Mytilus edulis: one gene and its partners. The protein of the gene in region 1 purifies or fractionates together with the protein of each later gene. This does not show direct contact. Links are inferred from orthologs where the notes say so. Each region holds a gene or a part of one and is shown on either strand. Other genes may lie near its edges.

The links.
Region 2: the proteins of histone acetyltransferase KAT8-like (region 1) and MSL complex subunit 3-like purify together in Homo sapiens (affinity purification with mass spectrometry; 4 studies listed by BioGRID and IntAct, with this or other methods). This does not show direct contact. The link is inferred for Mytilus edulis from reciprocal best matches to the Homo sapiens genes KAT8 and MSL3.
Region 3: the proteins of histone acetyltransferase KAT8-like (region 1) and PHD finger protein 20-like protein 1 purify together in Homo sapiens (affinity purification with mass spectrometry; 3 studies listed by BioGRID and IntAct, with this or other methods). This does not show direct contact. The link is inferred for Mytilus edulis from reciprocal best matches to the Homo sapiens genes KAT8 and PHF20L1.

The regions. Positions count from the first base shown.
Region 1 is NC_092352.1:21,231,897-21,235,657, forward strand, and holds the start of histone acetyltransferase KAT8-like, read right to left. Parts: upstream 2,930-3,761; coding exon 2,731-2,929; intron 538-2,730; coding exon 460-537; intron 1-459. Other genes in the region: leucine-rich melanocyte differentiation-associated protein-like, read left to right, coding at 3,027-3,104.
Region 2 is NC_092351.1:20,165,217-20,168,977, forward strand, and holds the start of MSL complex subunit 3-like, read right to left. Parts: upstream 2,431-3,761; 5' UTR 2,325-2,430; coding exon 2,226-2,324; intron 1-2,225. UniProt on the Homo sapiens protein: Non-catalytic component of the MSL histone acetyltransferase complex, a multiprotein complex that mediates the majority of histone H4 acetylation at 'Lys-16' (H4K16ac), an epigenetic mark that prevents chromatin compaction.
Region 3 is NC_092355.1:3,752,637-3,756,397, reverse strand, and holds the start of PHD finger protein 20-like protein 1, read left to right. Parts: upstream 1-1,377; 5' UTR 1,378-1,493; intron 1,494-3,761.

The DNA of each region.
Region 1 (3,761 bases):
TGGCTACCCTAAATCTAATTGACAAGCAGTGATTCTTTCTAACCCTCTTGCTGCTGGAGGGAAACATATGTCCACACTGACTGTGCCGGAGGGACACATGATATTCATGTTTTAACTTATGAAAGCTTGTCCTCATTGCTGTATCTTTTTCAAATAAAAAACAAAATATTTAACATCGTTTTATTTTTCTTCAATTGGTCCCAAATATAATGGTCATTTTTGCATGACATGATGCATATATTGAATGACATCATTGTTGGACATAAAACGTCACAGTTGTCGAGTCATCGTATTTTCCGGCACACAAAATGCAACCTTGAAAAACAACAGGCAGCAAATGGGTTAATTAGAATTATTCTATTGGGAAAAATATATGAAAATCTTGGTTCGCAACAAACTTGTCAATACTATATTGTAGACTTTTTTTGTAGTACAGAAAAGCTTAAATACTATACTTACATCCTTCATAGTGTACATAAAATTCATGTTTGCCTTCCACCATGTCAGTTAGTCTAGTTTGGATTATCTCTGCAGCATCTGTAAAAGTATTGTAAACAGTTATATCAGTTATCTAATCTGATATCAGGTTCCCACATTTTTTCTTATTGGATTTCTAACAACCTCCATGAATGAATTTCAAAATTTATACGATAAGATATATATTCAGATTATCAAGTTGCAGTTGATATTCATGTTTTTACTTCTTAACTTGTAAAGAGTTTCAATATTATCAAAAGTTGCTTTACTCATGCTATTTGGTATGAAATTATGATCTGTTTTATGTCTTATTTTGTACTCTTATAAAAAGGGAGATGTTGATTACGTAATTCAATATATAAAAGCATGTGTTCAACTTGTTAAACTTTTTCCTTTTAACTAGATTTAAAATTTACTTTTTTTAATCTCTATATATTCATTATTAGCATTTGCTGAAACATAATTAAGTGTTCTCCTGTTCTCAGGTGTGTCAATCTTCTTGTACAAGCTAATGATTTTCTATTTTAAGATATCCATCACGGCTTTCAGACTGTAAACACAAGGACCCTTTGGATTATAATACAATACACCTTATCCCTATTTGTCCACCAATATCTGATGCCACAATGTAAAAGTGATTGTTGTATTGATGATGTAGACAGCATTTTGAAGCCTATTGTAACTTACAAATACAAGAATAAACACAAAATATCAGGTCCTTTCTTGAACTTGTTCACAAATTTCCATGTGTTTTTTTCGTACTCAAGTACCAGAAGTCGAAATGTCAACAATGGCCAAACTCGGTTTAAAATTCTAGAATACACCGGCTGTACAAACAACAAAGTAAGATCTCACTCAAGTGTAAGTGTACAAGTGTTAGTAAGTATGTATGACATCAAAAGATCAAGCAGGACAGATTATCTGGTAAAGTGGGATGGAATTCAAAATAGCCATAAGGTGTATAAGCCTAAGGGTTACGCATTTACATGCAATTGATTGTAAATAATTGCTTACTGAGAGTTGACAACAAATTCTGATTGAAGAATTCTGACAATGGTGGGATCATTTGTCTTTTGATAATAGTGGAAGAAAATTTAACAATGTCCTGTCAATGGCAGGGTCCATTTAATGGTTGCGGAAGAAAATTTAACAATGGCAGGCATCATACTTGAAGATATTTTAACTATGTTGTCTTTGATGATGATGAAGCTCCATCATAAAAGAGCCCCTAATTCCTAACCTTTGGGACCAAAACTCCCAAAATCAATCCCATCCTTCCTTTTATGGTCATAAACCTTGTGTTTAAATTTCATAGATTTCTGTTTACTTATACTAAAGTTACAGTGCGAAAACCAAGAAAAATGCTTATTTAGGCCCCTTATTCATAAACTGTTAGGGCCAAAACTCCCAAAATCAACCCTAAACCTTCCTTTTGTGTTCTCAAACCTTGTGTTTAAATTTAATAGATTTCTATTAACTTATATGGGGACGAAGTCCCCAATAACAGTAGAAAATTCAATAAAAAAAAAAAAAAAAAAATCGGGGAAAATTTTCCCGATATTTTCATTGTACTAATGAACTCAAAATCATTCAATTTTTTTTTGTCGCGTTTTTGAAATTCCGGATCTGCGCAGAAATCTACAATGTACTTCCTTTTTCCGGTCTCGTTTGTATGAAACTTTGAGTAAAACATAAATTTATCAGTCTTGTATAAAATAGGAAGGAACGCAATACCAATTTCATTTTTTAATAATTCCTCGATATGAAAAAAAACGTTACCTGATGATAGCGTTTCTTTATTTACATTGTATATGACATCATAACTTTAATAACGTCACAACTAAAATCCTAACAACAGAACCAAAATACGTGAAACGTTACGGTATTTCCATTTCTTTTTTTTAACAAATATTAAAGTTACAAAAAAATAATTCATACAGACTTCGTCCCCATTTACAGGTAATGCCTGTCTCATATTACTAAAGTTATAGAGCAAGAACCAAGAAAAATGCTGATTTGGGCCCTTTTTTGGCCCCTAATACCTAAACTGTTGGGACCAAAACTCCGAAAATCAATCCCAACCTTCCTTTTCAGGCTTTTGTGGTCATAAACCTCTTTCATAGATTTCTATTCAACGACGACGACGACGCCAACTCCATACCAATATACATTTTGGCGGTCGTATAAAAATCATGAAAACACAGATATTTTTTAAATGCTAAATTTTAAGAAAAATTATCAAGGTAATCCTACGCCAAGTTCCATCAGATCTTCGAACAAGGTAGTGATCTCCCAAATCAGGAACATCGCTTTCTCCATGTCCATTCTTGTCTCCATTTGTTTCATTTATAGACATATTATTCAATATTTCTCCATTCGAAAGTCTTCGTAGAGGTATTTGTACATTAAAGTCATGATTTTCTAAAATTTCTGGATTTTTCAAATCCGCCATTTTTGTTATTGTCTGTTGAAATTTTTCTAAAAGTTGACAAAAGACGGAACAGAAGTAAAATTCCGGACGTGAAAATCTGAGTCACGTGATTCTAAAAATGGCAGACGAAGTTGAAGAGAAAGTAAACCCAGAGATAAATGAAGATGAAGCAATAGAACAGTTTCAAAATGGCCAGGTCTGTCGAGCGTTTAAATAACCAACAGAACATTGGACCTTTAATTAATGAGAGAGTAAAATCGTTTCTTCAGTCCCATATATAATAGGGATTTGAAATTTATTAGAAGCAACTGTTGAAGAATAAAAATAAATATTGATAGTTCAGTGATGTGCCAATTCAATGATTGATATGGACACAAATAGTTCATAACAAATTTTTAATTGTTGCGAAATATCGCATCAAACAATTTATGCTAAAAGTAAAATGTAACAGATTAAAATATTTCCAAACTCTGGTAAGCTAAAAAGGACAGATCAAATCATCCTATTATTCTAAATAATTATGACATCTTGAAAGGCTATTTTATTTTTTTGCTTTTACTCCTTACAGTGGCATCAAAATGAAAAATAGAATACCCTTTTAGTACACCATAATTGTTTTGACTACCTTCCTATGACACAAATGTATCAGCTCCACAACAAACTTACAGAAGTTTTACAGAAATTTACAAGATAACTTGTCATGCCACATCTTCTTACCTAATTTATATTGATCCAAAAACTATTGCAGACTTTAGCTATTTCGAAAAGTCAATAGACTACAGACAAAGTGATGTATTTTTTCATCTATTTATCATGTTTATTTTTTCTTTCTTATTTTTTTCAATTAATCTAC
Region 2 (3,761 bases), on another chromosome or scaffold:
GTTTACAAAACACTCAATATCTCTAAAATAAAATAATAAAATTTTGAACCATCACCAAAAAGTATACAGATCTTCAAAATTAATATAACTTAGAAGTGTGTAAACTTTTAAGCAATAACCATAAATCGTTTTAGAGATACAGCGTGACATGTGAAAACCCCCTCCCCTTTTTTTACAAAATACTCTAACTCAAAAATAAAAATTTGAATAATCACCAAAAAGTATACAGATCTTTAGATTAATACATGTATAACTAAGAAGTGTGTAAATTTCAGAGCAATAATCATAAATCATTTTTGAGATACAGCCTTATACATTGTATGTGGAAAAAAAAACACCTTTGTATTAGTCATTTAGCTGCAAAGTCCTGTAAATTAAAAAGTTTTAATCTTTTTTTCACCAAAAAGTATACAGATCATTTGATCTGCATAACAAATCGATAGGTCACTGTGAAAACTTTCTAAATATGAGAAAATAAAGGGTGGCGGCAAGTAGATGAAACTTACATAAATAAAGAAATAAATGAAAATTGAACCAATTGAATTGATACCCGATTTATATAATTCCAAGGCTGTTAGTCGGCATCAGAAGCGACAAAGCAGCACATGTATTTTGGACGGGCAAATATCCACTTTTTGATAGAGGACAAGCTCTGATGTCCCACAGCCCCAGCTTGTCTGGAAAAACAGTTGTTAGAGTCAGAGTAATCTCTGACTAATCTAGGACAAGCTATGACTGAAAACTTTTCCAGATGCACAGGTTTGTCTGTACTCAAGATAGAGGTTACAGACAATTTTGATCTGCAGTTAATATATATTCCCATTCACCCCAGAGAGTATTCGTGTATACTACTTCTTCCCGGTTACGAGTCGAACTCTATGAAAGTGTAATTGACTCGGGTGCATCTCAAACAGACAGGAGGTCACTCCTCTCTGGCCAAAAGTAAAAGTCCAGGAAAATCTGGATGGTATTTACAATAAAAATATATGCTAAATTACAACTATATACACTGGTTCTCCTGCTGTCTATTTAAGGTGTGGTTGGGTCCAGGGGATGATGTTCACTCTGGCCCTGAAGTCCTCTAGTGATCCGGACTCCACTACTGATTCTGGGAGTTTGTTCCACTCTCTCGTTGTTCTCGGGAAGAATGACTGAATGAGTGGTAGTAGATGTCTCTCTTCACTCTTGTCTGTCTAAATTTGTGGTTGCCCCTGGTTCTTCTGTCACCTGATGCATAGTACTTGGCTGGATCAATGGCAATCATCTGGTGTTGAGTTTTGTAACACAGCACTAGACTCTGTTTCCATCGTCTGTGCTGCAGTGATTCCCATTGAAGTTGGTCCAGAAGCTTTGTGACACATCCTGTAGAGTTGTCCTGGTAGCAACTGTAGACAAAGCGAGCTGCTCGTCTCTGTACCTGCTCTATGTCACGTACATTGTATGATGGTAATTTGGTGTGGATCCCATACCGGGGAAGCATACATTGTATTCCAGGGTTGGTCTGACTAATGTGCAGTAAGCTGTAGCTTTTGTTGCTGGGATACACCTACCCAGGTTTCACCGTAAGAATCCTAGTGTCTTGGAGGCTTTCCCTATGGTCTGGTTGATGTGATTTGACCAGGTGAGATCTTTGCTGATGGTGAGCCCAAGGTATTTCCCACTGTCTATTGTTTCTAATCTGTGTCCATGGAATGAGTAGGACGTCTGATGTTGTTGACGTCGTCCAGAGACACGGATGACTGTGCATTTTTCTGGGTGGAAACACATTTGCCACTGTTTTTTCCATTCTTCCAGCGAGGAAAGATCTTTCTGCAGCAAGTCTGCATCTTCTGGTTTCTTGATGCGCCGGAAGAGTAGACAAAAAAGTGCATGGCAAAATCCAGTTAAGTTATGATTTTTCCAAATCATACAATGCATTTGACCTCTATTTATCTAGGGCATGCTATGCCTTAAAACTTTTCCAGATGCACAGGTTTGTCTGTACACAGAGTAAATTTTACGGTGAAAATACGGCTATTTTAGCCAAAGGGTCCACATGAACCTTAAATAAATTAATGAACAACATATTGAACGAAAATAACCATGTACATGTTCATTTATACAAACGATTGTTTACGTTTATTTCAACGTTTTTGTTTGAAGAAGTTTTGGACTTTGTGGAAAATGAAAGTAAAGGGTGTAAACAATGTTTAAAAATACAATGTAGGTTTTGATAAGGTAAGAACCTTTGCATCATAAAGTACTCGGGCCTTTGTCGGATCTGGTTCAAAACAGAGGACGGGTTCTCCTACAGAATAGATGAACTTTATGCCTCTTATGGACATAGTACGATATCCATTTGAAGATAAGAAATACACTCAATTGCTAAATAACTATTCAGGGATTCATTCCCGCGTCACTTCTCATAATAACAGGAAGTGGAATTGCGCAGTTAAAATTGTTCTATTTTCAGGAATAGTCACGAAAAATATCCGTATGAGATCTGTATAACATCCAAGGATTTGTATGGGATTAAATGATTAAAGAATAATGCCCTTAAAAAATGAAGATTAGAGAATAACGGGCAAAAAATATGAAGAATAGAGAAAAAAGGGGTTAATTTTTTGAAGATTAAAGAAAAAAGGGGTTAATATTTTAAAAATTAGAAAAAAAGGGGTGAAAATTAAGTGTTTACAGAATAACAGACCCCCCATCTAGACCCTCTTGTATAGCTAAGTAACTATACAAATCCTTGTAACATCGTATACAATAATTTAACATAAAGTACGTTAAACATATACCTTCATTCAGTTTCTTACGATCAATGTTTTATAAACTATTTTCCAATGAAGAGAAATACTTATTCCAGTTGAAATGATATTTCAGAATATATTTGTTTCCCATTTTGAAACTTATATTATTACCACAGGCACTTGTCAGTCAGATTTTTCCCCCTACATACCGTGTTACCATTAAGGTACCGGTATATAGGATTTTTTTCTGAAACAAGTACCTGTGGTTATTACTATCTTTTTCGTGACAACAATGCCCCAAATTGCACCTATCTAGCCGTGAAAAAAAACTAAAAACTTGAAAACCAGCCCCCCAAAAAAAGAATATATATTTTTTTAATTGAAATCACACATTCATCTGACCATTCATATAATTCCATCCTCTTTATCATCGAATTTATACTTGCCACGAGCAACTCGTCGGGTGCCATGAGCAATACGACGTGTGCCATGCACATTTGGGACAAGGTATGCTTAACAGATATATAATTAATGAAATATCAGTGGAGCAGCTAATATATTCCCGGTTGTAATAGGGTTTGTTTTGTACAGCATTTTATTAAATATGTATAGATTTGTAGACTCGTTTTTCTATTCGTCATTTTTTTATTTGTTTTGTCAAGATATTTTCAGATTTTCTTTTACTAATATCCATTTGGTGCCTTCTGTCTGCTGTGAATATGTATTGATTATATTTCAAGTCCAGTGGCGTATATTTTATTAATAGTCAGTTCAGTACCAGTTACAAATAAATATATTTGATAAAAATGGTTTGACCAGGATGAAGGTTGGCCGGAAAATTTTGACAGGAAATTGAAAATAGTGACATGTTGGATGCAAAGACATTATTCGTCGCGGGACGACTACGGTCCCCTAGCTGAAAAGGATGTTGAAAGGGAACTTTTATTTTAAAAGAACATAAAAAAAAACATTTCTTGCAAGCGAAATCAGATTTATATAGTCTCTATTTTTTTTAACAGAAATTGGTTG
Region 3 (3,761 bases), on another chromosome or scaffold:
GGCACAACTTTTTGGATTTTGGATCCTCAATGCTTTTCAACTTCGTACTTGTTTGGCTTTTTAAATATTTTGATATAAGCGTCACTGATGAGTCTTATGTAGACGAAACGCGCGTCTGGTGTACTAAATTATTATAATACTGGTACCTTTGATAACTATTTAGTGTGATCAAACCTGTTCTCAACTATCCAAATGGTTCGATAGAAGGCTGACAAGCTTGTATGTCGATATAATGTATTTGTTTCAATTTTCGTAGCTACAATCCCGTCCCTTAAATTGAAAAGTTAAAATAAGAATTTCGAGCTTTTCAAAGTTGAGTTTACGATCTTAAAGGGGCACTAGCTGTCAAATTAATGTTCACCGATTTGATTCAAATTTTCATATTCAAATATAACATACTAAAACGTATATCCAAATAAAAAAGACCAAAATAAACAATTTACAATTCATAAACTCGAAATTATGTATCAGCATTTCGTATGCATTTTAGTCTAGACTCAATCTAATTAACCATCGATGTGTCCTTCCGAAGAATGTCGACGATAATATATTCTGTTGAAAACATACACAAAGATATAAATAGATAGCAAGGACGTGTAATTGAACATATATCCAGTCTGTTCGATTTCATATTATAGATTAAAGCAATAGTTGAAAAATCGATTTAACGTGTATGGAATAAGTTTTTGTAGATCCAATAGTCAATCAAATGGTTTAAAAATTACCCCTGTTTCCCTTTTTAAATTGTTGAAATGTTTCCCTCTTACTAGCTGATCACGCCTAGTGCTGCACGTGTAACCCATCTCTAGCTAATTAATTAAAGTTCACATGAAAACGGATTTTATTATTTACTTGCTATTGATGATATTTCATTAGCAAAATTTATCTGCTTATTTTGACAAAACTGAACCAAACTAATTGTTTGTTTGTTGTTTGCTCTATGGTCGGGTGGTTGTCGCTTTGACATATTCACCATTTCCTTTCTCAATTTTAATTGCTAAAAGTCTTTTTACTTAACTATTTCACTTTGATTAATGATTGAACAAAATAAGTACAATTTTTTTTCTTTCTATTATTCTATTTTTTCTGCTATATCTCGTAGCTTGTGTTCCATTAAAGTTGAATTGTCGAGTTTTTAAAAAGTGAAATTTCGAGTTTAAAGTCGAAATTATTAAAAGAAAAATCACATTTTCAGAAATGAAAAATTGAAATTTCGAATTGAAGTCGAAATTTTCAAATTTTAATTGTTTAATATCAACTTAGAATTCATTTTTAATGACAATTTTATTTTATCAATGTCTCCAATACGCTTCCGTATCTTTTCGATGGTACGTTGCAATTCATAACTTTTGTTATATTTGTTCGGTAATTAGTTATATTACTTTAAGAGATGTTCCGAATTATGTTTACAAAACACAAAATGGAGAAAATGGAAATGCGTCAAATGTTTGCAGCTAGTGAATTGCTGTTAATGTGAAAAACTCATATCATTGGTAAATATAAATCGATAATTATAATAAGAAATTAGTGTATTACAGAACTGGAGACCTTCTAAGAGGTGACACAGTTGTATTTTATCCCGTCACATTCGTCACCGGTTCGACCACGCCGACGCATGGCGGCATGACATGATGTTTTTGTTTACATAACATATAGTCATGTCTCGTTTGTTTCTGAAGGAGGACAAGATAATACAAAAAATTAAAATATATTTTAAATAAAATGGAATAATTTGAATGGTAATCGTTCTTCTTGTATCTCTTTTACAATATTCATTTCATAAACTAAAAGATGATGAAAATAAAGAAAGGTTGACAGGGGAAGTAACTCATCATCTTTAGTATTATTTTATATTTTTATGGCCCCGTAATGAAGTTGTCGGTGCCATATAGTTTTACCCTTGTCCGAAATTCCAAAATTCTGCAATTCCGTCATTCCGCAACAAACCATCATACACAGTTTTTTCTAAACGCCTTCAGATATTGGGCTGATTTTTGGTATGCGAGTTAACAATGATGCGTTACAGATCAAGTTTAAATTTCATTACGTTTTTTTTACCGAAATCATGGTCTGTGGACTTAAATAAATTGTGTGAAATTTTTTAAACTCTTTCAGATATTGGTCTGATTTATGGTATGTGAGTTATCCATGATAAGTTACAGATTAAGTTTAAGTTTTGTTCTGCTCAGCTTATTTTTGGGCTATGGACTTCGATAAATTGGTGAAAATCATAGTTATATAGAATTTTTTTCTGAACACTTTCAGATATTGTGCTGATTTTTGGTATGTGCATGATGTGAGTTACTCATGATGAGTTACAGATCAAGTTTAAGTTTCCTTCTGCTCCGCTAATTTTTGCCAAAAGTAAGGATTTACATCTTTGAAAATTGTTGAAAATCACAATTATACAGACTTTTTTTCTGTACGCCTCCAGGTTTTCAGCTGATTTTTGAGACTATCATCATGTTTGTGTCCACATGTGTTATTGAAATTGCAGATTTTTCAACTTTTTGAGACGGGGGGCCATTCATGTTGCTTTGACACATCTAGTTTTATTTAAATAATTTATACATGTGATGGACTCTGAAACTCAGTTCAGGTGACTGGGAAATTTTGGTTTGGGGTTGAGAATGTGGAGATCTCAGATCAAGGATGTTTTATATCAACATTGATTTTTATTTAAAAAGTATACTTCATTTCTGGAATCATGTCTTTCACCGAAAAAGTTCGTCAATTTTGCACTTCAGATTTTGTAAGTACTGATAGAATGTCAAGCTTTCAGATTTGTACAATACCGATCATGCAGTTATAAAAACGAAACAAGTTTAAAACAACAAATGAAAAGAAGACATACGGTAAAACAAACTAAGAGTTGTATGATTAGGTTTACAAAATGTAATTTGTTTATTATCCTTAATTGTTATGTACAGTTCAGGTGACTGGGAAATTTTGGTTTGGGGTTGAGAATGTGGAGATCTTAGATCAAGGATGTTTGATATCAACATTGATTTTTATTTAAAAAGTATACTTCATTTCTGGAATCATGTCTTTCACCGAAAAAGTTCGTCAATTTTGCACATCTGGATGACATCATTTACCAGATAGAAGGCGCGCCTGTATCCCTGCTCTATCAAAAGTTTCCATCACTTTCAAAATCGTCATTCTGTAGGGTATTATTGAAATAATTTATGTTCCGTAAGTACGTACTCTTGATTGCTGTACGACTGAGTGAGGGTGACCATCTTATTAGATTTTAATTTCCCAAATATTGTGTCCAGTATAAAATAAAACTTTTTCACCTGTTTGCTCAATATATGTTGGAAATGATGATGCATGACATGATGATGGAAGTCACATGACAGATTATAATCAGTCTGAAAACAGTATCCCGGAACTGGCCTATTGAAATGGAACTCCCTCCAAAGTCATATACTTCATTTTGTACTTAGCGTTTTCACCTGACGATATAGAGATATGGGTATTTAGTCAGATCTTTTCAGGAAGTTGTGATTATATCAGAAAACCGACGTGATTATATCAGAAAACCGACACTGATAAAATTAATAAAAAATTTAAAAATGTTCAGACTTTAACATGTTTAATAAAATCTATGTTTTGGTAAGTTGATGTAATTAGTATTGAAGCAAACTAATCTTTAACAATATATCATATAACTTTGTAAACACGTTAATTATGAGCTATGAAAGTCAAGTAGTTCCTACATTTTTTAAATTTATTTTTTTTATCAAAAAAAATTATTT